Linked DNA regions of Caenorhabditis elegans. The protein of the gene in region 1 interacts with the protein of each later gene in a pairwise test. Each region holds a gene or a part of one and is shown on either strand. Other genes may lie near its edges. The genes, in order: reps-1, ain-2, T05F1.4 and dbd-8.

What was found.
Region 2: the proteins of reps-1 (region 1) and ain-2 interact in a two-hybrid assay, tested with the Caenorhabditis elegans proteins (one large-scale study listed by BioGRID).
Region 3: the proteins of reps-1 (region 1) and T05F1.4 interact in a two-hybrid assay, tested with the Caenorhabditis elegans proteins (one large-scale study listed by BioGRID).
Region 4: the proteins of reps-1 (region 1) and dbd-8 interact in a two-hybrid assay, tested with the Caenorhabditis elegans proteins (one large-scale study listed by BioGRID).

Annotation. Positions count from the first base shown.
Region 1 is NC_003283.11:18,985,462-18,992,459, reverse strand, and holds reps-1 (REPS (RalBP1-associated Eps domain-containing protein) homolog), read left to right. Parts: upstream 1-1,959; 5' UTR 1,960-2,091; coding exon 2,092-2,197; intron 2,198-3,130; coding exon 3,131-3,546; intron 3,547-3,646; coding exon 3,647-3,758; intron 3,759-4,627; coding exon 4,628-4,846; intron 4,847-4,973; coding exon 4,974-5,032; intron 5,033-5,475; coding exon 5,476-5,796; 3' UTR 5,797-6,486; downstream 6,487-6,998. Other genes in the region: Y39B6A.37 (Structural protein), read right to left, coding at 1,055-1,602; mrps-35 (Small ribosomal subunit protein mS35 mitochondrial conserved domain-containing protein), read right to left, coding at 6,845-6,998.
Region 2 is NC_003279.8:4,651,615-4,659,540, reverse strand, and holds ain-2 (ALG-1), read right to left. Parts: upstream 6,015-7,926; coding exon 5,999-6,014; intron 5,944-5,998; coding exon 5,855-5,943; intron 4,199-5,854; exon of another isoform or gene 4,193-4,198; coding exon 4,045-4,192; intron 3,821-4,044; coding exon 3,083-3,820; intron 3,031-3,082; coding exon 2,761-3,030; intron 2,336-2,760; coding exon 2,054-2,335; intron 1,603-2,053; coding exon 1,286-1,602; intron 857-1,285; coding exon 779-856; intron 533-778; coding exon 224-532; downstream 1-223. Other genes in the region: ptps-1 (Putative 6-pyruvoyl tetrahydrobiopterin synthase), read left to right, coding at 6,635-6,787, 6,840-6,971, 7,218-7,355.
Region 3 is NC_003279.8:9,629,515-9,632,931, reverse strand, and holds T05F1.4 (NAM-associated domain-containing protein), read right to left. Parts: upstream 1,545-3,417; 5' UTR 1,537-1,544; coding exon 1,397-1,536; intron 1,352-1,396; coding exon 1,206-1,351; intron 1,158-1,205; coding exon 969-1,157; intron 924-968; coding exon 817-923; intron 767-816; coding exon 737-766; 3' UTR 531-736; downstream 1-530. Other genes in the region: Protein hsr-9, read right to left, coding at 2,574-2,657, 2,704-2,989, 3,083-3,297, 3,344-3,417.
Region 4 is NC_003280.10:13,106,364-13,110,706, reverse strand, and holds dbd-8 (DB domain-containing protein), read right to left. Parts: upstream 2,689-4,343; 5' UTR 2,685-2,688; coding exon 2,502-2,684; intron 2,452-2,501; coding exon 2,329-2,451; intron 2,285-2,328; coding exon 1,202-2,284; intron 1,155-1,201; coding exon 1,020-1,154; intron 969-1,019; coding exon 714-968; 3' UTR 538-713; downstream 1-537. Other genes in the region: rict-1 (RICTOR_N domain-containing protein), read left to right, coding at 384-520.

The DNA.
Region 1 (6,998 bases):
TTGAATTAGCAGCGCCCAAAACTTGTAGTTTGTAGTCTAAGCAGCGCCCAAAATTGAATTAGCAGCGCCCAAAAGTTGTAGTTTGTAGTGTTAGCAGCGCCCAAAACTTGTAGTTTGTAGTCTAAGCAGCGCCCAAAATTGAATTAGCAGCGCCCAAAACTTGTAGTTTGTAGTCTAAGCAGCGCCCAAAAGTTGTAGTTTGTAGTTTAGCAGCGCCCAAAATTTGTAGTTTGTAGTGTTAGCAGCGCCCAAAACTTGTAATTTGTAGTCTAAGCAGCGCCCAAAACTTGTAGTTTGTAGTCTAAGCAGCGCCCAAAATTGAATTAGCAGCGCCCAAAAGTTGTAGTTTGTAGTTTAGCAGCGCCCAAAATTGAATTAGCAGCGCCCAAAAGTTGTAGTTTGTAGTGTTAGCAGCGCCCAAAACTTGTAGTTTGTAGTTTAGCAGCGCGTAAAATTGAATTAGCAGCGCCCAAAAGTTGTAGTTTGTAGTTTAGCAGCGCCCAAAATTGAATTAGCAGCGCCCAAAAGTTGTAGTTTGTAGTGTTAGCAGCGCCCAAAACTTGTAGTTTGTAGTTTAGCAGCGCGTAAAATTGAATTAGCAGCGCCCAAAAGTTGTAGTTTGTAGTTTAGCAGCGCCCAAAACTTGTAGTTTGTAGTCTAAGCAGCGCCCAAAATTGAATTAGCAGCGCCCAAAACTTGTAGTTTGTAGTCTAAGCAGCGCCCAAAATTTGTAGTTTGTAGTGTTAGCAGCGCCCAAAACTTGTAGTTTGTAGTCTAAGCAGCGCCCAAAACTTGTAGTTTGTATTCTAAGCAGCGCCCAAAATTGAATTAGCAGCGCCCAAAACTTGTAGTTTGTAGTTTAGCAGCGCCCAAAATCACATTTTCGCTCAAAATTAACCAAAATTGCCGGTTTTTTCGCATTTTTCGACGGAATTTTCTGTTTAATTCGTTAAAATTTGGGAATTTTTATGATTTTTCAGCGGAAATCGCTTGAGCAGCGCCCAAAACTTGTAGTTTGTAGTTTCCACGTGGGGCTCAATTCCTCGAAACTTACACAAATTCGCCAGTTTTGAAGCTTTTCGTGTCATTTTTATCGTGAAATTCGACATTTGTGGGTTTCAGCGCCTTATCAACATAAAATTCACTGTCCAATCCATACAAAAGCTGTCCTTTATCACTAATATCATCACTTTCTCGCCGTTCCAGCAGCTCTTGCGGTGCTTCATCATCATCATCATCAGTCGGTGGATCCGAATCGAATCCGCTGCTTTCCCCGCCGCCGGCTTCTCGATTTTCAGCCGGCGGTAGATCACCGGATTCACTGCTCGCCGAGCTGTCTGGAGCCCCCCCGGCGGCCGAAATTCCGACGCCATTGTACTCGACGCCATATCCAACGTACCAGCCGTCTTCTAAATTCGAATTATCAATCGAAAAAGTGTCGATTTGAAGGATTTCGCAGGGTTTTGTGGATTTTTGAGCATTTTCGTGCTGTTCCATCGTTAATCCTTGCTTCCCGAGCGCATTTTTCAGCGTTTTCAGCTCTCTTTTTGTGAGATTTCGGGCTTTTTCAGGAATCTGCGGGATTTCGGACGATTGGGGCATCAGAACCTGGAAAAAATAATTGTTATGCTGTTAAAATCGAATTTTGGGGCAAAAAAAACCTTAAAAATACGATTTTCCGGCTGAATTTCATTATTTTTCGCAAAAATTTCAGATTTAGCTCGAAAATCGGTTGAATCTTGCCGATATTTGATAGTTTTCACCCGTAAAAACCCCGAAATCCATGAAAAACCACTTTAAAACTGAAAAACAAATTATACAACTAGGAAATGGATATTTTTCAGCGTTTTAGGTGTATGAATAGGAGATTTTAACGCTTTTTTAATTAATTTTTGCTTTAAAAAACTGATTTTTACCCAAAAAATCTGTGAAAATTGAGTTTTTCAGCTGAAACATCGTTTCAAAACGAAAAAATAAATTTGCCGGCACGAGAATCGCGCCAGTCAACCCCCTTTGCGCATCTCCAGTGCGCTGGCGCATTTCTCGTGCACCAACTATTTTATTTGCTTTTCCGCGAAAAAATCAATTTCCATGACAGAAAACGACAAAAAATCGCAATATTTTTCGAATGGAGACTTTGAAAAAGTCGCTGCCGATATTATTAGTAGTCCGAGACGTCTGAAGCACACGAGTCCAGGTGATTATTTTGAAAAATAAAGAATTTCAGCTCGAAATCGGCAAATTTGATGCAAAAACGTGGAAATTAAGCTGAAAAACGGTGAAAAATCCAGAAAAATTAGGAAAAAGTGCAAAATTATCCTCAAAAATGAGTAGTTTTAATGAAAATATAACCTTTTTCGATTTTTCTCAAATTTTTTCGCATTTTTGAAGAGATTTCCGCTATAAAACAGATGAAACTAATTTAAAAAAACCACTTTTGAAGGTTTTTGAGTGAATTTTTTGGGCGCTGCTTAGACTACAAACTACACAATTTTAGGCGCTGCTAATTCAATTTTGGGCGCTGCTAAACTACAAACTACAAGATATTGGTCGCTGCTAAACTACAAACTACACAATTTTGGGCGCTGCTAAACTACAAACTACAAGATTTTGGGCGCTGCTAAACTACAAACTACACAATTTTGGGCGCTGCTAAAGCTACAAACTACACAATTTTGGGCGCTGCTAAACTACAAACTACAAGATATTGGTCGCTGCTAAACTACAAACTACACAATTTTGGGCGCTGCTAAACTACAAACTACACAATTTTGGGCGCTGCTAAACTACAAACTACACAATTTTGGGCGCTGCTAAACTACAAACTACACAATTTTGGGCGCTGCTAAACTACAAACTACAAGTTTGGGCGCTGCTAATTCAATTTTGGGCGCTGCTAAACTACAAACTACAAGATTTTGGGCGCTGCTAAAGCTACAAACTACACAATTTTGGGCGCTGCTAAAGCTACAAACTACACAATTTTGGACGCTGCTTTTCCGTTTAGCGGCGCCAAAATCGATTTTTTCTATTTTTAAGCACATTTTCTCAGGGAAAATTGCAAAAATCGAAATTATTTCGGTTTTAAAGCTAAAAAACTCGAAAAAATCCAAATTTCCCCAATTTTCAGCCGATTCCAACGCGGATTCTCTCTTCAAAATCACTGAAAAACAGCAGGAATACTACACAAAATGCTTCCGTCACTTAATAAAAACCACTCAAGGCGCCGCAGACCTCTGCGGAGCCCTTTGCGGAGCCGATCAACGAATTGTAGCGTTTTTCAAGAGAAGCTCGCTGGATATGAGCTCTTTATCGAAAATCTGGTCGCTGGCCGATGTGAATGAAGACGGATGGTTGGATTTAAACGAATTCTCGATTGCGATGCATTTAGTAGTGTTGAAAGTGAAAGGAGAAGTTCCGATTCCTGATGTGCTACCCGGTTTCGCGCGGCCACCACTTACAGAGCCACGGGCTCCGTCTACAGTTGCGGCGACGCCTAGTCCCGCCGGTGCAGGACATGTAGAAGCTGATGGGCCAGTGAAAAATGTGGGGGTTTTTGAAATAATTTAATTGACTTTTGAATATGTATCATCATTCAAAACATTAACGACGTTTTTTTTTTAATTTCGAATTTTTCCAATTCCAGTGGGCAAACCAGCCAATCATCAAACAATTCTCGGATACACCGCCATTATTAGTGGACAGTAGGCCAACAGCTATCAAGCATTCTGCATTGTTAGCACTTAAGAGTCCACTGGGTAAGTTTGGATTCATTGAAGAAATTGTTGTAGTGTTTATTATACTTCTCAAATGTGTGAACACAATATAAAAAGTTTAAATTATTGACTAATAATAATTTATTCGAAAAATTGCTAGTTGAATAGCAGTCATACTACAAAAACTACAATAGTTTTCGATTCAAATGTTTTAGAAAACCTAGTTTTCTAATCAGTAACATAGTTATTTATATACTGACTAAGTAACTAATTATTTAATTAATAACTATTTAAGTACGTTTTTAATTCGTGACTTAGTTAGTAATTAAAATACTTACTGAGTTGCTAATTATATAACTTGGTAAGTAGTTAATTAGAAACTTAGTTATGAAATTACTAACTCAATACGAATTTAATTACTAACTTAGTGAGTATTTAATTAGTAACATAGTTATTTAATTTATAACTCAGGAAGTATTTAATTAGTGACTTAGTTAGTAATTAAATAACTAAGTAAGTATTTAATTACTAACCCTGTTAGTGTTAATTAGTAACAAAGTGAGTATTTAATCAGTAACGTAGTTATTTAATTTGTAACTAAGGAAGTATTAAATTGCTACTAAGTGAGTATTTAATTACTAACTAAGTGGGTATTTAATTAGTAACAGAGTGAGTTTTTAACTACTAATTTTCTTATTTAATCATCATCTAAATAAGTACTTAATTAGTAACTTAGTAATTAAATTACTAACTACGTAAGTATGTAGTTAGTAACTTAGTTATTTAATTACCTAAATAAGTATTAATAAGTATTAAGTATTAAGTAAGTTCATTAAAACACGCAACACTCAATATTTAGTAGTATTTGCAATCTAAGAGCAGCGCCCGAAATCAATAATCCATATTTTCAGGACCCCCACCAATTCCACCTGTCCGCCCACAACAACAACAACGTGGACACAACAGAAGTGCAAGTCTTGACTTGAAATTGATTGCATTGAATAAGACAAAAGCCTCGGCGGAATCCCAGCTACCACCAACTACCCTATCACTTTGGTCATCACATTCCGATCCGACAGCTCAATCGATTAGTACTACAACGACTACGACTACTTTTGCGTCTTTTCCTGGTATGAGACTGAAAAATTGGGCAGAAATTCGAAAAAAATTTTAAAAAAACTGGAATTTTTCAAAAAATATATTGCTTTCAATTTTCGAGAAAAAATCAAAATATTCCCAATTTCCGCAAATTTTCAGCCACCCCGGACAGTATTCCACCGCCGATTCCACAAAGAATCACACCGTCACCTCTACCGGTAAGTTAAGGGAAAGCTTTTAGTTGTAGTTTGTAGTCTTAGCAGCGCCCAAAGTTTGAAATTATTCGTTTTAACGAATTTTTAAGAAAAACTTTTCAAAATTGCGATAAAATCGAAAATTAGTGTAGTTTTTATTTTCTGAACAGGTTGAAAATCACAAAAATATGATTTTTAAACAATTTTTGGCTATTTTTTTGTGCGCTGCTATTTTTTTGGGCGCTGCTAATTTTTGGGCGCTGCTATTTTTTTGGGCGCTGCTAATTTCTTGGGCGCTGCTAATTTCTTGGGCGCTGCTAATTTCTTGGGCGGGCTGCTAAAAATTTACTTGTAGTTTGTAGTTTTAGCAGCGCCAAAATTCAAAAATACTCATTTTTAACCATTTTTCTTCAAATTTTTCAAATTTTTCACTGAAAAATCTCCAAAAATTCACAATATTTTTGCAGAGAGTCATCGAAGAGGAAAAACGAATTACCACAACAGATTCATCAACACAAACTACAGAATTACTCTATTCTGAGGAAGATGTGAAGAGCTTTTTCTCGAAAATCGGCCATCAAATCGACGATTTAATTGGAGAAGAGATTCAGGCAACTGATGGGCAAGGAATTGAACGATGGAAGGAACGTTGTACAGCTTTGAGGACTCAAAATTCGGAATTAGAAGCCGAAAGAGCACGGTTGGCTCAAGTACGGATTCAATTGGAAATACGAATTCAGGAATTTGAAGAGAGATCCAAAACTGCGTGCTCTTCTTCTACACTTTAATGATATCCCCGGTGGAGGAAAAATGGATGGGAAATTCGAATTTTTGAGGAAAAATAGGAAAAAAATAATTTTTTTCGGCTTGAAAAACTAGGAAATAACACATTTTATTTCGAATTTTCCGGAAAAAATTTTTTTTTTGGAAAAAACTCAATTTTTAGCTGGAAAAATAGAATTTTTAAAGATTTATTACGTTTGGTTAGGAAAATAACAAAAAAATTCGAAATGTATCAATTTCTATGGAAAATTATTTTTTCTGAAAATTTATTGATTTTTCTGAAAATTTATTGATTTTTCTGAAAATTTATCGATTTTTCTGAAAATTTATTGATTTTTCTGAAAATTTATCGATTTTTCTGAAAATTTATCGATTTCTATGGAAAATTTATTGATTTTTCTGGTTTTTCGCATTAAAAAACATGAAATTTGCCCATTTTAGAGCAAATTTTCAAAAATTTCTGAGAAAAAGGTATTTCCCGAAATTAAATTTAACTTCTAAAAAAGTTTTTAATTATTTTCTATCAAAAATTCGAATTTCCCACCAATTTCTCCCCCAGATTCCCCGCAAAAAACTAAAAAATCTGCATATTTCTTCATAATTTCTGTGATATGTCATATATATATTTCATTTTTACCTATGTTGTAATTTTTTAAAATAAGCATCAATTTTTCTATTTTCTGTGATAATTTAATCTATTACACTATCTTCTTTTTTTTTTTTGAAAAAAAAAATCATAAAGTATGTATTGATTTTTACACACATTAAAAATAACTATTTTTTAAAATTGGAAAATATATATATATAAATTTTTCCAAAAAAAAATGAAATAACATGAAAGATGGGAACTATCTAAAAAATTCGGACAAAAAAATTATTACAGATCCGGCTAAAAATTTGGAAAAAATTCCAAATTTTGACAGAATTTGAGGGATCTATTATAAAAACTGCTAGAATAACAAAAAAAAAACAAAAAATTTTCGAGAAAAAAAATTATTACACATTCGTGACGAATGTATAATAATCTTAGCAGAACTAAAAAAAAACAGTAAATTATTGTTGAATTCCGAGTAATTTCTTCATCTGACGACCGTATTCCCGCGTTTTTTCGACAGTTTCCTCGCTATTTCTATAGGCTTTCCACATTTCTCCGAATTCGTCAATCGATTTTTGATCTCCACATCCGGCGGCGCTGGGGCTTAATCCA
Region 2 (7,926 bases), on another chromosome or scaffold:
ATCAAACTAACACATATTGATTTTAAAAAGTTAAATTATGAAAATAAATTGATGAATACGAGAAGAGTCATAAATAAAATAAAAACTAACAAGCAATGCAAATTTTGGCATAAAAATTCTAGACTTTTTCAAAAGAAGAAAATTAAATTTACAGCAGCAGAAAAGAACGAACTGAATAATTATATATTTGATTTCAGATTAAAAAAAAAGAATAAATCAGCATCTAACCAAGGAACGAATAATCATAATAATGATCAGGTGGTCCACCACCTCCACTACTATTAAAAGAGTCTCCACCAGCAGCACCACCTCCACCACTTCGTGAAGTACTTGGACCAGCTCCTCCATCGGATCCTGGCGGTGGTCCTCCTCTATGATTAAGATGATTGGTAGATGTATTTGCAGATGTAGATGTTTGTGGTTGTGGTGGAAGAAGCCCAGCTTCGATCAAAGCTTCGGTGATCTTTTTAGATAATTGTGTCACCTCGATCTTTGCAGTCACTACTCCGATTACTGCTTTGTCGTGATCGTTCTGTAATTTTTATTTTATTATTTTTATTCATTAAACTCTAATCTTTTAAAAAACTCTTTGTGATAACCCAGGTTCGGAAATTTACGATCTTTAGCTCTGAGATACTGTAGCAGGTCTCGAAACGATCGAAAATTATGCTGAATTCGTAGCAACTACAGTATTCTTTAATGGTACACACTTCTTTCCGTGAAAATTTTTCGATCGCTTCGAGACCTGGTACCGTACTTTTTCATCAAAAATGTTTACCTTTTGATCCTTGCTCATCCACGATTCTTTCTCCTCTTTGCTGGCTCCCTCGTCATAGTTCGAAGGGCGATTTTCTCCCTTAAAAAAGTAATTTAAAAATATGTTTCTTTTCATTCTAGTTTTTTTTAATTTTTAGCTCTTCACCACCATTCTATAGACACAGAATTTTGCGATTTTTTGAGAATAAATACAGTGCCCGGTCTCGACACGAAAAATGTGTGCTCAATGCAAAAGTATGTGCGCCTATAAATAGTACCGTGATTCAAAACCTTCTTTACTGCGGAATTTTCTTCGATTTTTCAATTAACTAAAAATCTTTCAAACTAACAAATCGTGAGAAAAACTGTGGAAAATTAATTCCAAATCCGCAGTAACGAAAATGTGAAACTACAGTACTCTTTAAAGGTGCACACCTTTGTGAATTTAACAAAATATGTAGTGGCGAGACCCGCAAAAATCGCAATATTTTGCGTCTGTGTAATATTATTATCCCAATAAAATACACACCAATTTTTTGAGCTCATCCTCATAGTCGTCCAAACGCGGAATGACCGCCAAAATTTCGGTGAGCAAGTCGAGCACGTTGGGCGGAATGTGCGGAAGTGAGAGTAGGGAAATATCCAAATGACCCTTCTGAACGGCTAATTTCAGATTTTCAGCCAGCTTCTTCTGGCTACCATCCTCGTCCAACAATGAAGATGAGGATGGTGGTCCGCCTCCAACATTTCCACTGCCGCTCATCATCAACATGCCAATTGGAATTGATGACGATGAAGCTGATGATCCGACACCCATTGTTGGATGTGGTGGTACCATTGAGGATCCTGCAAGAAAATATTCATTAAAAAATAATATTCATTAATAAAAAATTACGGGGAAACTAAAAGCTATAGTTTGGGGCGCCGCTCCAGTCCACTGTAAATCGACATGAGATCTCATGTCGATTTCCGGTGGACTACGCGCGATTTTACAGTTTCTGTTAAAATTTTGTATTCTGGACCGTTTCCCTCATTTCTTTCTGTATTTCCCACTTAAAAGGGAAACAGTAATTATGGGGTTTTCATAAATAAATTAATCGATTTTTACTTGAAATACTAGCTTTTTAGGTTAATACAGAAGGAAAACAGTCCAGGATCAAGAATTTAGCAGAAACTGGGAAATCGTGCAGACAAATAAATTCTGGGTTGTCGACATAAAAGACGCGCGGCAGGGTTGCAGTCGGAGCTCCGCCTCCTCTAACCATTCTATTCCTAAATTCTATTTTCTGGTACGAACCATCCATGACAGCAGCAGACCACAATGATCCACCATCAAGCACCCCATTATCACCATAACCTCCATAGTGTGGCTGATGTTGTTGTTGATGTTGTTGCTGTTGCATGTGTTGAGCAAAGAATGGATTACGTGTTTCACTATTTGATTGACCTCCTCCAACTGATGGACTATTCCACATTGAATTATCATTTGATTGATGATGAGATGGATGACGTCCACTTCCACCACCGCTTATACTTCCTTCATCCCAACCACGTGACGAGCTTTGATCGAATTCTGAATCTTTTGAAACTTTAGTACAATATTGCATTTTTTCTCGTTATAAATGCCAATCGTATAATGTTTCAATTTTGTTAAACATTTTTTGGATAAAAATGAAAAACTGTTTTTAAATAGTATTTGGCGGCAAAACCGTAAATTAAATCGTTTTCAATTATTTTCGCCAATTTTCAAACATTTTTCGTCCCTTTTGTTGAGTTTTTAATGGTTTTTACTAATTCTTACAATTTTCACCTTGAATTGATGCATAAAAAATACATGAAGATTTTTTTTTCATTTGTTTATGAATTTTATCATCAATTTCGATGTAAAAAAATATTTAAAAAAACGGAAAACGCAACAAAAAAATTGGTATAATTAATTTTAAACGAATAAATTAATGGTTTTACCACCAAATACGGAAGTAGGATTAAAAAGAAAAAACGAACCACTCTTGTCAGTACTAATTTCAGATGGAATATCACCCCATCCACTGGGAACAATGGGTCTTCGTCCAATCCTCATCATAGCATTCGCCTCTTCTTCGGCTTGTTGTTGAGCTTGTGCCACTATTTGTGGATTTTCAGATGTTAAACGTCGACGAAGAGCTTCTTCATTCAATGCTTTCTTTTTCAAATGACTTGGACATCGTTCCATTGCCGTTTCAAAGTCTTCTTCTTGGCCTTCTGGCACAATCCAACGGCGAATTGGTTTACTGTCTGGAAGCAAGAAGATTAAGAATTTAATATTCAGAATTTTCAGAAAACTTACTTGATACATCAGCATCACCCCATCCACTCAATCCCTTATCTCTCAACGATTTTTTCTTTTTCGCGTCTTCATCATTCTCATCAGTCCACATTGAATAATCATCCATTGATGATGATGAAACTCCGAATCCTCCATTCTGATTTCCACCTGGTCCGTGCTGTTCGTGTGGTCCTCCTTGTGATCCTCCACCACCTCCACCCATTGAGAATGGCGACGGAGCAAATGAGGGTTGTTGATGATGATGATTCGGTTGATTTCCACCATAAAATGGAGGCTGACCAGGTGGAACCATCATTGGTGGCATATTGAATCCCTGTTGAGGCTGTTGCTGCTGCTGCCTCTGTTGATTCCCTCGATAACCACCTTGACCTCCTTGCATTCGATTCCCGTATTGATTCTGATTATTTCCACGTTGTCCATATGGTGGCATATGAGATGGATGATGTCCTCCACCACCACCAGCTCCACCACCATATCCCGAAGGATCATAGAGATCGTCTTGTTGAGGTGGAGGTACAAATGGAGCAGGTTGATTCCATTGTTGGACTGGCGGTGGACCCATATCACCATATTGTCCAGGAATTCCTGATGGTGTCGATCCTAATGACATACCATCCATTCGCATATTAATATCCATCACATCAGGCATTCCACCCATTGGTGGTGGTGGAGGATATTGAGGCATAAATTGTCCTTGTTGTGGTCGGAATCCGTGTGGCATCATACGATTCATTCCACCTGAAAAATAGAAGTTTGAATTTTGAATCAATTTTTAAATCATTTTTTTAAATCTCAGTAATCGCTACAGGTGCCGAATTTTACAGACTTGCTGATTTGATGATATTGAAAATTAGTTTTCATATAATTTGAAATTCTAAATAGCAGCAAATTTATTTCTTTAATAATTTTAAAATAATTTCTTAAATAATTTCTAGTCACCCAAAAAACGAATCAAATCTTACCATGATGGGGATTCTGTTGTATTCTTTGATTGTGCATACCACCACCTCCACCACGTCGTCCTCCTCCGCCACCATTCATGTGATGTGGTCCTCCACGCCCAGGTCCTTGCCAACCGTCCCCGTTCATACCCGGATCCGCCTCGTATGGCTGAAAAATGTTATGAGTTTTATGGAACAGAATCCAATAAAAAATTGGTGCAAAGAAATTGACATTACTTCCGCGTCTAAGAGATTCGGAGCTTCAAGCAGAGAATCAAAAGAGCAAGAAACCAAAAGATATGATACTTCAAAACTTGGAAGGCCGATAAATCGAATTTTTTGAGCAAAGGTAGGGGTACGGTAATTTTCTGGAGCACTTAAAAAAACATAATATTTTAATTTTTAAGCTTTTCAGCCAATTTTTTTTCGGTTGGTTTTTTAGCCCTGAAGCTGAAAAGCAGGTGAAACCCAGAGTAACATCGTAAAACAGGCTTTCTCTAGTAGAAATCTTCTCGGAAAGGGATATATAGTTAAGGATAGAAATGGAAAATGTATACGAGAACGGGTCTCTCTGAGAATAGTCCGGTCTTGTACCACGGTTCGGACTATATATATACATTAAGCCAAGCGATACGAAGAAATGACGCTCTAATGATAAGTTGGAAAGTGCATAATTTAGATTATAAAACCTCGGAAATTCTACGAAAATCTTAGGTGGAGTAGTATCTGCGGAGTTTTTGTCCGAAATTACCGAATATGCGTGCTTAGATTTTTTTTGTTGCAATTTTGCAACAAAAAACGATCGTGTATTAATTGGTTGTTCTTTGTTATATCACTAATTTGAAACACCTTTCGCCACATTTTTAGATATCTAAACTTAATAACCCGGCAAAATTTCGCCGAAATTCTAAAATTGGCGGAAAAATCAATAATTTAATACTTTACAGAAAACAAATCTGAAAATGTGACGCATAATGCTTCAAATTGCGAAACAATGAAAAACTGTATGCCAAAATGGTGGAACCTATTGGTTATTCAAAATAATTTGGCCGTTTTTTAGTTGCAAAATAGAAAAAAATAGTTTTTTGAGTGGAGTTTTCGAATTCAAACAAAAACATCAACGAAAAATTTCGTAAATCCGAGAATTAAAAAAAATCAAATTCCAAAACTACAAGAGTCCCTGTCACTGATCGAGACGTGGAGGAATAAGAAACAAAGAGTGTCAGTGACACAGTACGCTAGAATACGCGACGCAGACAAAAAGTGGACCCCAAGTCGGAGGACACGGACGGAGGTCGACATGACCAATCGATAGAGAGTTCGTTGCGAGAGAGAAAGAAACACGAGACGCAGAGACATGAACAAGAAGACGGGCGGTGTAGTGGTGTGGCGGTGGCGGTTCCTGGGGTGGTTTCCAGCGAAAAAAAAAACGACGAAGGGCACCAAGACGCAGAGACATTGTGCATTAAATATACGTATATATGTACAATATGAAGAAAAAGGAGAAGCAAAGCGTGGAGAGTCTGCACAAAAAAACGTACATTTTTTATTCAAGGAGCGCCCGACAATATGGGCGCCCTCGTTTTCCCCTCCCTCCACAACGACACCTTCTAGGAGGACAATGTATGAGATAATGTAGATTTTTGAAGAGACGGCAGACATTATGAGATGAGAATTCTTGATATCGGAGATTGACCATGAAAAGTGCGGAGAACGGTCAGATGACGTCATCTTCTGGTTTTCTTAGTTATTTTTTATTAACTTGTGCCCAATCAACAGTTTCTTCATGTTAATGATGACTTTAAATTGATTTTTTTAAAATTTCACTCACAACATATTGTTGAGAGTAACTCGACGGAGATCGTGTATCAACGTGTAATTGGCGATAGGGAGGTTGCCGCCGATAATTCGGATCATTGCCTGAAAAATAATTATTGTTTAGAATTAATTGAGCGAAAATATATTGACGAAATACCTTGATATCCGTGCATTTCCACGCAAAACTCTTTTAAAATTTGTTTTTTTCGCGTCTTGCTGTGATTTTTCTGAAAATAAGATACGGAATGTTTAAAAATAATGTTTAAAATCAAAATTTTGATCGAAAATTCGGAAAAAAAATGCACAAAAACGAAGAAGAATGAGTGAAAATGATGAAATATGAATTTGATTTCGAATTTTCGCGGACAAGGGTTACTGTAGTTTTTAAAGGCGCATGCCTCGATTTGAAAAAGTTTACAGGCACAGAAATTTGCTTTTTGAGTGAAAACTTAATAAATATCAGTCCATTGTTTTGAAATCACCTAATTAAAATTGAAAATAAATATTTTGCACTATTTTTTCTATTTAAAATTTCAAAATTCTCCGAATATAAAATTTTAACACGACTACAGTAATCCTTCGCTTGAAATTATTGCGTATTTTGATGCAGAAACTATAATCCTGCTGTCGTAATAAGATGATTAGTTGAAAAGAGAGACGATGACAATCATATCATAATTGTAATCAATTATTTGCAAACACCAGCGCCAGTATATAAATTATTCGTTGAACACACATAATTCTTCCATTTTTCTCCATTTTTTTCTTTTTTTTAATAAAATAAATTATTTGAATGTTCAGAATGCCAATTGTAACTATGGAACGAGTCGATTCGTTCTCCGCAGCACATCGTCTTCACTCTGAAAAGCTGAGCGACGCTGAAAATAAGGAAACTTTTGGAAAATGCAATAATTCAAATGGTCATGGACATAATTATGTTTGGAAGGTTTAAAAATTTTATTTTTTAATAAAATAAAAATAATTTCGAAAAATTTCAGGTAAAGCTCCGCGGAGAAGTTGATCCGACGAGTGGAATGGTGTATGACCTGGCAAAGCTGAAAAAAGAAATGAGTTTAGTGCTGGATACGGTAGATCACAGGAATTTGGATAAAGACGTGGAATTTTTTAAGGTACTGTAGACAGATTATGCGTCATTAAAAATGCTATTCAAAGTGTGGGTCTTGGCACGAGCGAAACTTTTCAGCTACAGTACCATCTAGTATGGTTTAAATGTTTTTTGTTTAAAAGATTCGAGAATTTTGCTATTGAAAAAAATCTAAATTAAATTTTTTTTGTTATCATAAAAAATTTCGGAAGGACCCAAGACCGCAATTTCGCGTTTCAAAACCAAGATAAATACTTTTTTCCAATTTCAGACAACTGTGAGCACATCTGAAAACGTGGCAATTTATATGTTCGAGAAGCTGAAATCCGTAATGTCGAATCCATCGGTTTTGTATAAAGTGACAATTGAGGAGACACCCAAGAATATTTTCACTTATAAAGGATGTTAATTTCTGAAATAAATAGTTTTTGAATAAAACCATAAAACCAATTTTTCAAGCCTTTTAGCAATAGAGCGTGTTTCCAAAAAAAGTCTAGATTTAATCGGATTAATTGTTTCGAAACTGTCGACGACAAACGCCCGGAAAAAATAACTATATGTGTTGTTGTAACAGCAGATTCTGATCATCAACATTTACAAAAACCCTGTTTATTCCAATTCCACTGTCCTCTTTCCGCCGCCACACTACACTTCCCCTTTTCACTTCTTTTGCCGTCTTTTGCCCCACTATATTCCTCGGCTTTCTCCCCACTCATTATCTGTGTCTCTCGTGACTAGAGTGCTATTTCATACGCACCTTCCACACACACACACACACACAAGGAGCCAAATTTGCACAAGCTTTTTCGTCATTTTTTCGTCATTTTTTTCAAATGTGAATTTTTAGAAAACTTGAAAACTATAATTTTGTATTTTCACCTAAAATTACTGCAAACTCTTGTATTGAAAATTTGAAATTACACGTGGAATTAGTTTTTCAAATCCGAACTCTCATATTGATTGAAAAATGAATAAATTGA
Region 3 (3,417 bases), on another chromosome or scaffold:
TATAACAATAACCCAGACGCGAACGTTTGTGTTTTTGCGCAATAAATACGGTACCCGGTCTCGACACGACATTTTTCTGTTATACAAACGGTTATGCACCTTTAAAGATTTAATTAAAGAGTACTGTAATTGCAAACTTTCGTGCTGTACTGTAGTTTTGCTCACGGTTTGTTAGAATGTATGAGTTCAAACTTGTTTTTTTTAAAGAAATAGACGGTTTCCGTACTTACATACCAACGAAGTTTTGAAATTACAGTACTCTTCAAAGGCGCACACCCGTTTTATCATACAAAAAAAAATCGTGTCGATACCGGGTACTGTATTTCTGGCGCTGAAATCGCAAAACTTCGTGTTTGGGTAAAACCATTTAGATGTTTCAAAAATAGTTTCATATGATCGCTCAAAATACAATACCCCAATGTAGACTCCGCCCATATCCAGACGAGAAATCGTGAAACTAAAGAATTGCAGAAGGAAATTTCAAAAACACGAATGAATCTTTGATGGGATTACAATGAACAAGAAGAAAAAACAATAAATTTCATTTATTGTGTTGAAAATCATGAAAATCCATATTGATTCTGAGAAAAAATAAAAATATTATAAAGATATAAAATAAAACTATCTGATAGTTTGAATACATAATGAGAAAATATCTCTAAAGCGACAATGTGACATGATTTGGTTGTATTATTAGGATTCGGCAGCTGGAGGGATGGATATTGGCTATCAGAAGTTACCAGTTCGGCTTGAGAAGTTCTTGTGGCTGAAAATTTAATTATTAGTTAATTTTCTATTTTTTTTTTGTCTTCTTACGCATGTTGTTTCCGTGTACTCTTTATATGCTTCTAGAAGAGCCTCGTGGTCCATTTTTGCCCTGCGTAACTGAAACTCGGCCCGTCGGATAGCTTCTTCGGCGTCAGCTGTAATTGGTAAAGCATTTTCAGTGCAAAATTCGTTGCTCATACCGATTCTTAATTTCCACGTTCTAGCTGCTTCTTTGTCTGTTGGTTTCAAAATAGTTCGTAAATCATTACGGCTTCCTCTTGTTGGCTCTTCTTCTTTCTCATGGTATCCATTCCGATCACTATCCCTTCCATCTCGTCTGAAAGATGGAGGGGAAAACCGGTTACGGCCTTGGTCTCGATCATTCGATGCTGAATATAGAACATTTAAGATTAATAATAATCGAATCAATAACTAACATAAAGCAGGACGTGCATCAAACGGATTATTACGGTATGTTTGAACTTGATTATGATTGGATGGACTTGGAGTACGACTATTCGGCCGATTTTGTTGGCGATAGTTGTTGAAACGATGTTCATGACGATCCTCGCTGTGATTTGATCTAAAATCCAGAAATTGATGGATAAAATTAATTTTATTAGTTTACCTTCTGTCTGGACTCAAGTGTCGATCTGATTGATTATCTCTAATATCATCACGGAATCCACCATTTCCACCACCTCGTCTTCCTCTTCCGCGTCTTTTTGAATAACCACCTCCGCGTGGAATGATGCCCCCGCCGGACATTTTTCTTGCTGAAAACAATTTTAGAATTTTTAAAAGCATGTTATTTAAACAAGAGGAAAAATAGTTGTTTTATACAAAGAATCGAATAAAACTGTTTATTTTATATTTTTTCGCTCAGAAAGCGGAATTTGTGGCTGTCGTTATTTCCGAACAATGTATTAAATGTTTTTTTTTTAAATTTTATTGATGGGCCTTTATTGATGGGAAGTAGAAATCAAAAGTTCGAATATTTCAAGCGATATTTTTTTTTATAATTCATGATGTTGAGTACACTCAAAATAAGAAAACTGCGTGGCGTGTACTGCAGAAAACCTCATATTTAGGCCCCGCCTTTTCTCCGTGAGTGGACAAGAAAAAGGCGGGGCCTAAATATGAGGTTTTCTGCAGTACACGCCACGCAGTTTTATTATTTTGAGTGTAGTTTTCCCGTTTCTCAATTATTAATTTAAAGAGCTCAATTGGGAATGCATTAAATTTCAGAGAAAACGAACTGTTTGAAATATTGTTAATTGTTTGAAACTAATGCTGCCAAATCAAGAAAATTGACAACGTTATTGGTACAGTTCATTTTTTCATTTCAGAATAAGCAACAAAAGGTGTTCATATGAATGTACTGTAGGTTAGTAAAACACTATGTTAGGTTACTCTTTGATGCAAAAAGGAATAGTTAAAAAGTTCTCAGAAGCTTTCGAATAAATTATAATAAATACGTTGCAGAAGTAACTGGGAAAGGAATGATGATCGTGATTTAAAAAAGATGGAAGAGCTTCAAAACAGGGGCTTAGAAAATGCAGTTCTATAATAATAAATTGGGAAGAGCTCAAAAATTCACAAAAAATGGTTAATGAATACGCATACAATGTCACCGCTTGTTGACCAGCACACTGAGCGGGTAAATTTTCGAGTAAGAGATCGACGATATTTCAGCGGATGGAGCACGGTAGGGAAAGTAGAATAGTTATTTAAAAAGTTGATATAAAAACGTAGTGTACAAAATGAGAAGGGAAATGGGGAAAGGGGGTGAGATGAGATGATATTCAATGACGCGTGCGGTGATGCAGACGGTATGGATCGAATTTTGGATGAGCATTTGGCTCAGGAGCTTTGCCAAGAATTATTGTCTGAAAAATGTATAACAATTAAACGACGAGGAAAACGGAATCTCACTTGGATAACCCATTCGGAAGTGACTCTACTTGCTCCAATAGTATCTGCATACTCCATGACTTCGTCACGGAAAGTTCCATCAACTAAAACAACGTCAAATTTGAGACCTGTTTCGTCAAGAGTTTCCCAGTCTCCGTCGACTACATCAGCACCGAGAAGCTCAAGAATAGGTTTCCAAATCTCGATGAAAGTTCCTCCGGGTCCAGTTTGTGTTACTTCACGAGCTGAGTGAGTTGAGTGTACATAAATTGTTGTTCCTTTCAAAAGCTCTGATGGATTTTTGGGCCTTAAATGTTTTCGATGATCAGAATTTTCAGAATCGTTATAAAAATCAAAAATCTAACGGAATTGAAATCATTCATCATGAAAGTTCACTTACGCTGGCATATCCTGAGACTCGTCAAAAATTGAAGCACCTGCAGGAAGAACATAGTCCGTATAGTCGACACATTTCCCCTGTTCACCACATGCTTGTAACCATGTATTGTTAACACAAGGAACACCACGAGCTAAAGCTGCCAAGTACTTGTGAGTACGATAGTACGTATCAGAAATCAGCAATGGTTCGTAGTTGGAGTAACGCTCTTGGAAGCTCTTAAAATAAAATGATTAGAATGTTATTTGTAAGACGTTATCTTACATTAAGCTGCTCCGTGACGATCCCACCATTCTGAGTAATGAAGTTCATCAGATTCTTCTTTTTGAACATTGAAG
Region 4 (4,343 bases), on another chromosome or scaffold:
GAATCATGTAGAATCATGCGAGAAGAAAATAAGTTTTCGGCTTTCCACGTGTAGTACAAAATCAGGATTTTTACATGTCGATTTACAAAGCGTTTTGTACTACACACGGACAAGCGGGATTTTACAGTTTTTTAAAGCTGAAATCGCTGGTTTGAGACTATTTTTGCGGATTATTTTTGTATCTAACATTCAAACGTAACAAAATATTTCTTATTTTTTATGTTATTTTTTATTAATTTGTTGTTTTGCAACAATTAATTCATCGATTTTTACTTGAAACATATCCAATTTTAAAAATTGTCCATCGACATCGTGCCGTAGGATTGCAAAAATATAGAAGACATTTATTAAAATATATTTATAAAATGTGTAATATATTTCAGAGATCCAATCCGAATGCCTACTTTGCTGCTCGCAACCTTTCCTACACCAACTCGATGCTTCATTTCGCCATAATCGGAACGTTCACAATGACGAGTAAAGGATTATCGATTTTGACGAATGCTGGAGTTTTGCACATGTAAGCTTCTTTCTCTTAATATTTAAAATCATTTATTGTGATGGCACACTGTGCCACATTTTAGAATTGAATTTTTGAAATCTATTGCACGAATTCAGGAAAGTTGTAGATGAGGGAATGAGTGAGAAGAGAGAAAAATTATTATTATTGATGTGGTTTAAATTGCAATACATATGGATCACCCGTTGACACCTTATGGCTTCTGCGAGACGAAGAAGCATTGTTGAATGTGTGACAGTTTGACGAGACACTTGTACTTCTCGGTAAGAAGTCCGCCTTCTGGAAGACCGGCCGATGGGTTACAGTATGGACGGCAGTGCTCGTATCCTGGCTCGAAGACTCCGTAAGCCTCGCAACACTGGGATGCGTCTTGGTAGCCCGAAGCGCAGATCATCACGTCTCCGACCTTAGCCAATGGACAGCGTCCAGTGAGAACAGCGAGTTGCATCTGAAATGGAAAACAGTTCTAGATAGCAAAAAAATCATTATAGAGACATACAGTAGCAAGGGTAGCATCGTAGTTACAAAGTGGAGCACATCCCTCTCCGAGACGAGAACAGCAGTTGCGGAATCGATCATTGGCGGTGTCCTTAGTGATGCATGGCTGCCATCCTGGTTGGCGTGGACATTGGGCCTGAATGAACAAATATTAAGCTGATCACAATTGCGGAAATATTTTACCTGTGGTGGTGGAGCAAGTGGAGTTCCCTTTCCTGCATCGATATACTTCTCAAAGTTGACTGGTCTAGAGTCAACTGAAGCTGCAGCGGCTGGCTGTGGTAGTGGCTGCTGTGGACGTTGCTGCTGTACCTGTTGTTGTGGAGCAACTGGGAGTTGTGGTTGCTGCGGCTGTGGCAGATAGTTGTTCTGATTCTGGTACTGCTGTTGGTGTGGTTGTTGGGGCTGCTGTGGCTGCTGTCCGTATTGTTGCTGTTGATTGTATTGGTTTTGTTGTGGTGTCTGCTGCTGCTGCTGTTGGTTGTACTGCTGCTGTTGTGGTTGTTGGAACTGCTGATATGGTGGGTTGAACTGCTGATTGTATTGCTGATTGTACTGCTGCTGTTGTTGTGGAAGTTGCGGGATTTGTGGTTGCTGCGGTTGTTGTTGGTTATAATTTTGACTGTTGTAATTTCCCTGATGCTGTACCTGTCCGTATTGCTGCTGCTGGGTCTGAAGAGTGCTGATGCCTTGCTGGTTAACAGTCAATGGATTAGCGTTCAAGTTGAAAAGGTTGAATGGATCGAGTGCTGCATTTGGCTGCAAGAATTGTTGGAATGGATTGAAAGCTGCAGCCTGCGATTGTGATTGTGCTCCAGCGGCTCCAGCGGCTCCTGGAGCTCCGAATAGTCCTTGTCCTTGTTGTGGAGTCGGGAGTTGGAATGGATTCGGTTGGTTGAAAATATTATCAACTTGTTGCCCATATCCTTGCTGTGGCTGTTGGCCGAATGGAATTTGAGCGGCTTGTTGTGGGTACTGTACTTGCCCGGTTTGGTATTCTGGAAGTGGCTGTGCCAAATCGGCTGGTTGACGGCTCAAGTTTGGATCGAAAGATGCGACCTTTGGTGCCTCGACTAGTGGAGCAAGAGTGGCGGTTTGAATTTGAGCTGGAGCCTGTGCTTGTGGGTACGGGATCTGGTTTCCTTGATAGTTTGGAGCAGCGAATTGAACTGGCTGAGCATGTGGCTGCAGTGGGATGTTGAATTGTGGCTGTTGTTGTTGATGTTGAGCCTGAACCTGTTGCTGGAATTGTTGCTGGTGCTGAACCTAAATACTTTTTAATAAATTTTTTTTTCAATTCAAAATCCCACCTGTGGTCTCTGAACCTGTGGCCCTCCCTCGTTTGAGATCTGGCGAGTATTCACTGATTGTGCGAACTGTGGCTGATTATTGAACGCTGGTGGTGGCTGAGGTGGTCTCTGTACATTTACTTCCTGAAATGTCAGAATTCGAATTCAAGCAAAATGTAACCCAAAATCCCTACCTGAATAGATTGGTGCTGCTGTGTCTTGCATCCAGCACAAGCTGTTGGACACATTCTATCGATGAAGTCAACTGCACAATGAACACATTTGGCACGAGCACATGACGGAAGATCTGCCAATGTATACGTTGATAGAAGCAGCAAAATACAAATGGCACGTATCGTCGAAACCGACATTGCCATCGGTCTGAAACGTTTCAAAAAGTTGATTCGGTCAAAAGGGTCGAAGGGAAAATAAAGTGAAAAGAATTCAGAAGGAGGTGAAAGTTATTTGAAGGCGATTGAAACGGAGGAAATCTACATTGCGGTGTCTCTCCCGACACATCTACTCGATTCCCGGATAAATGGCTTTGGGAACGGAGCGCGCGGGTCCGGAGAAGAAGCGGCTGCGGAATGTTGAACAAACAGCGAACATTGTGGATTGGATAAAGATGAAGCGGTCGTCTATGTTTGCTTCACCATCTTGAGGTCGGCGACTAGCCTCTCCCCTCCTCACATACATAGAGATGCCTCGCCTCGTTCGCGATGACGCCGATCGCGTCGAATAACCGGCTTCTTATGGGCAAGCTTATTCTCTCTCTCTCTCCCTTCTTTTTCTTGCTTCTTCTCTTCTTGAGGTGCGCGCCCGACTGACCACCAGCTACGGACAGCTACAAGGCGAAACGGTGACGAAACACTTTTTAATTATCCGAGAGGAGATTTAGACGGATGATCGAAGGCTAGTATTGCGACATATTGGAGAACGGCAGGAAGGATTTATTTGGGAATTAGTCAGTTACTTTTGAATAAGAAAGAACATTCTACATGGAAGTGCTATTTAGTAGTAACAGCACAACTAGAAATTACAATACTGTTCTAGTATCTACAAAATTACATATGTATATTTTCTTATCACATTCTGCACGTCAAACGGAAGTTCAAAAAATTACCGAATCCGGAAAGGGGGGAAAAGAGATTGTAATAGGATATATTCGAATGGCATTGATAACCTGTTGAGGACTACGAGAAGCCCCCGCCGAAGGGAATCAAGGGAATCGAAGACAAAATAGAATCAATCGCCAAAAAAAGGAGAATAGGAGATGACCGAGCGAGAGAGAGAATAGCCAGAAACTCGTTCCGAGTCATCCAGATTGATTCTGATGCCTCCCTGATTGATCATTTTTGTGTGGTATGTATGGAATATAACGATATACTTGAAGATGTGTATACACAAACACGGAATATCTTGGAATCTAGAGGATTTATTAAGAAGGTGAATCTTGGTGAAGTTAAATTGGAGGTCTTAGCTGTCAGGGTTACTGTAGCTTGTTGGTTTTTCGAAATAGTTTTGTTGAGGCCTGCCAAAATTGAGATTTTTCATTTCAAAACATTTCAGGAAAATTCTGATTTTCGGTACTTCGAATGTATCGTTAGACATGATAGAAGCTCCAAATCCAGACATTCTCTAGTGTTTCTAACAATCTTTCCTGGTAAGATGAGATGAGAAAGAAATTGAGAAATTATAGATATCTAAAGATGCTAACTTTGTAATTTCTACTAAAAAATGAAGGAAAAATGTAGGTAACTAGATGTTCCTGCAATAAATGGCAAGAGGGGATCGGGAAGAAAACTATGGTATGACTCGGCTTTTTGCGCAATGTTATATGTCATTTAGCCGTGTGTGTGTGTGTGTCTTTTTGGATTGAAACACGCCTCCTTCTTTGCCTTTTCGTTTCTGCTTCTTCTTTTTTCGTCGTCGTCGTCGTCGTTGCCGCCAATTCATCGCATATGTTATTGTTGCATAATTCCAGAAATTAGAGATCTCTCCGTGAATCGGGATAGTCGGCGGGGAAAGCGTGAAGG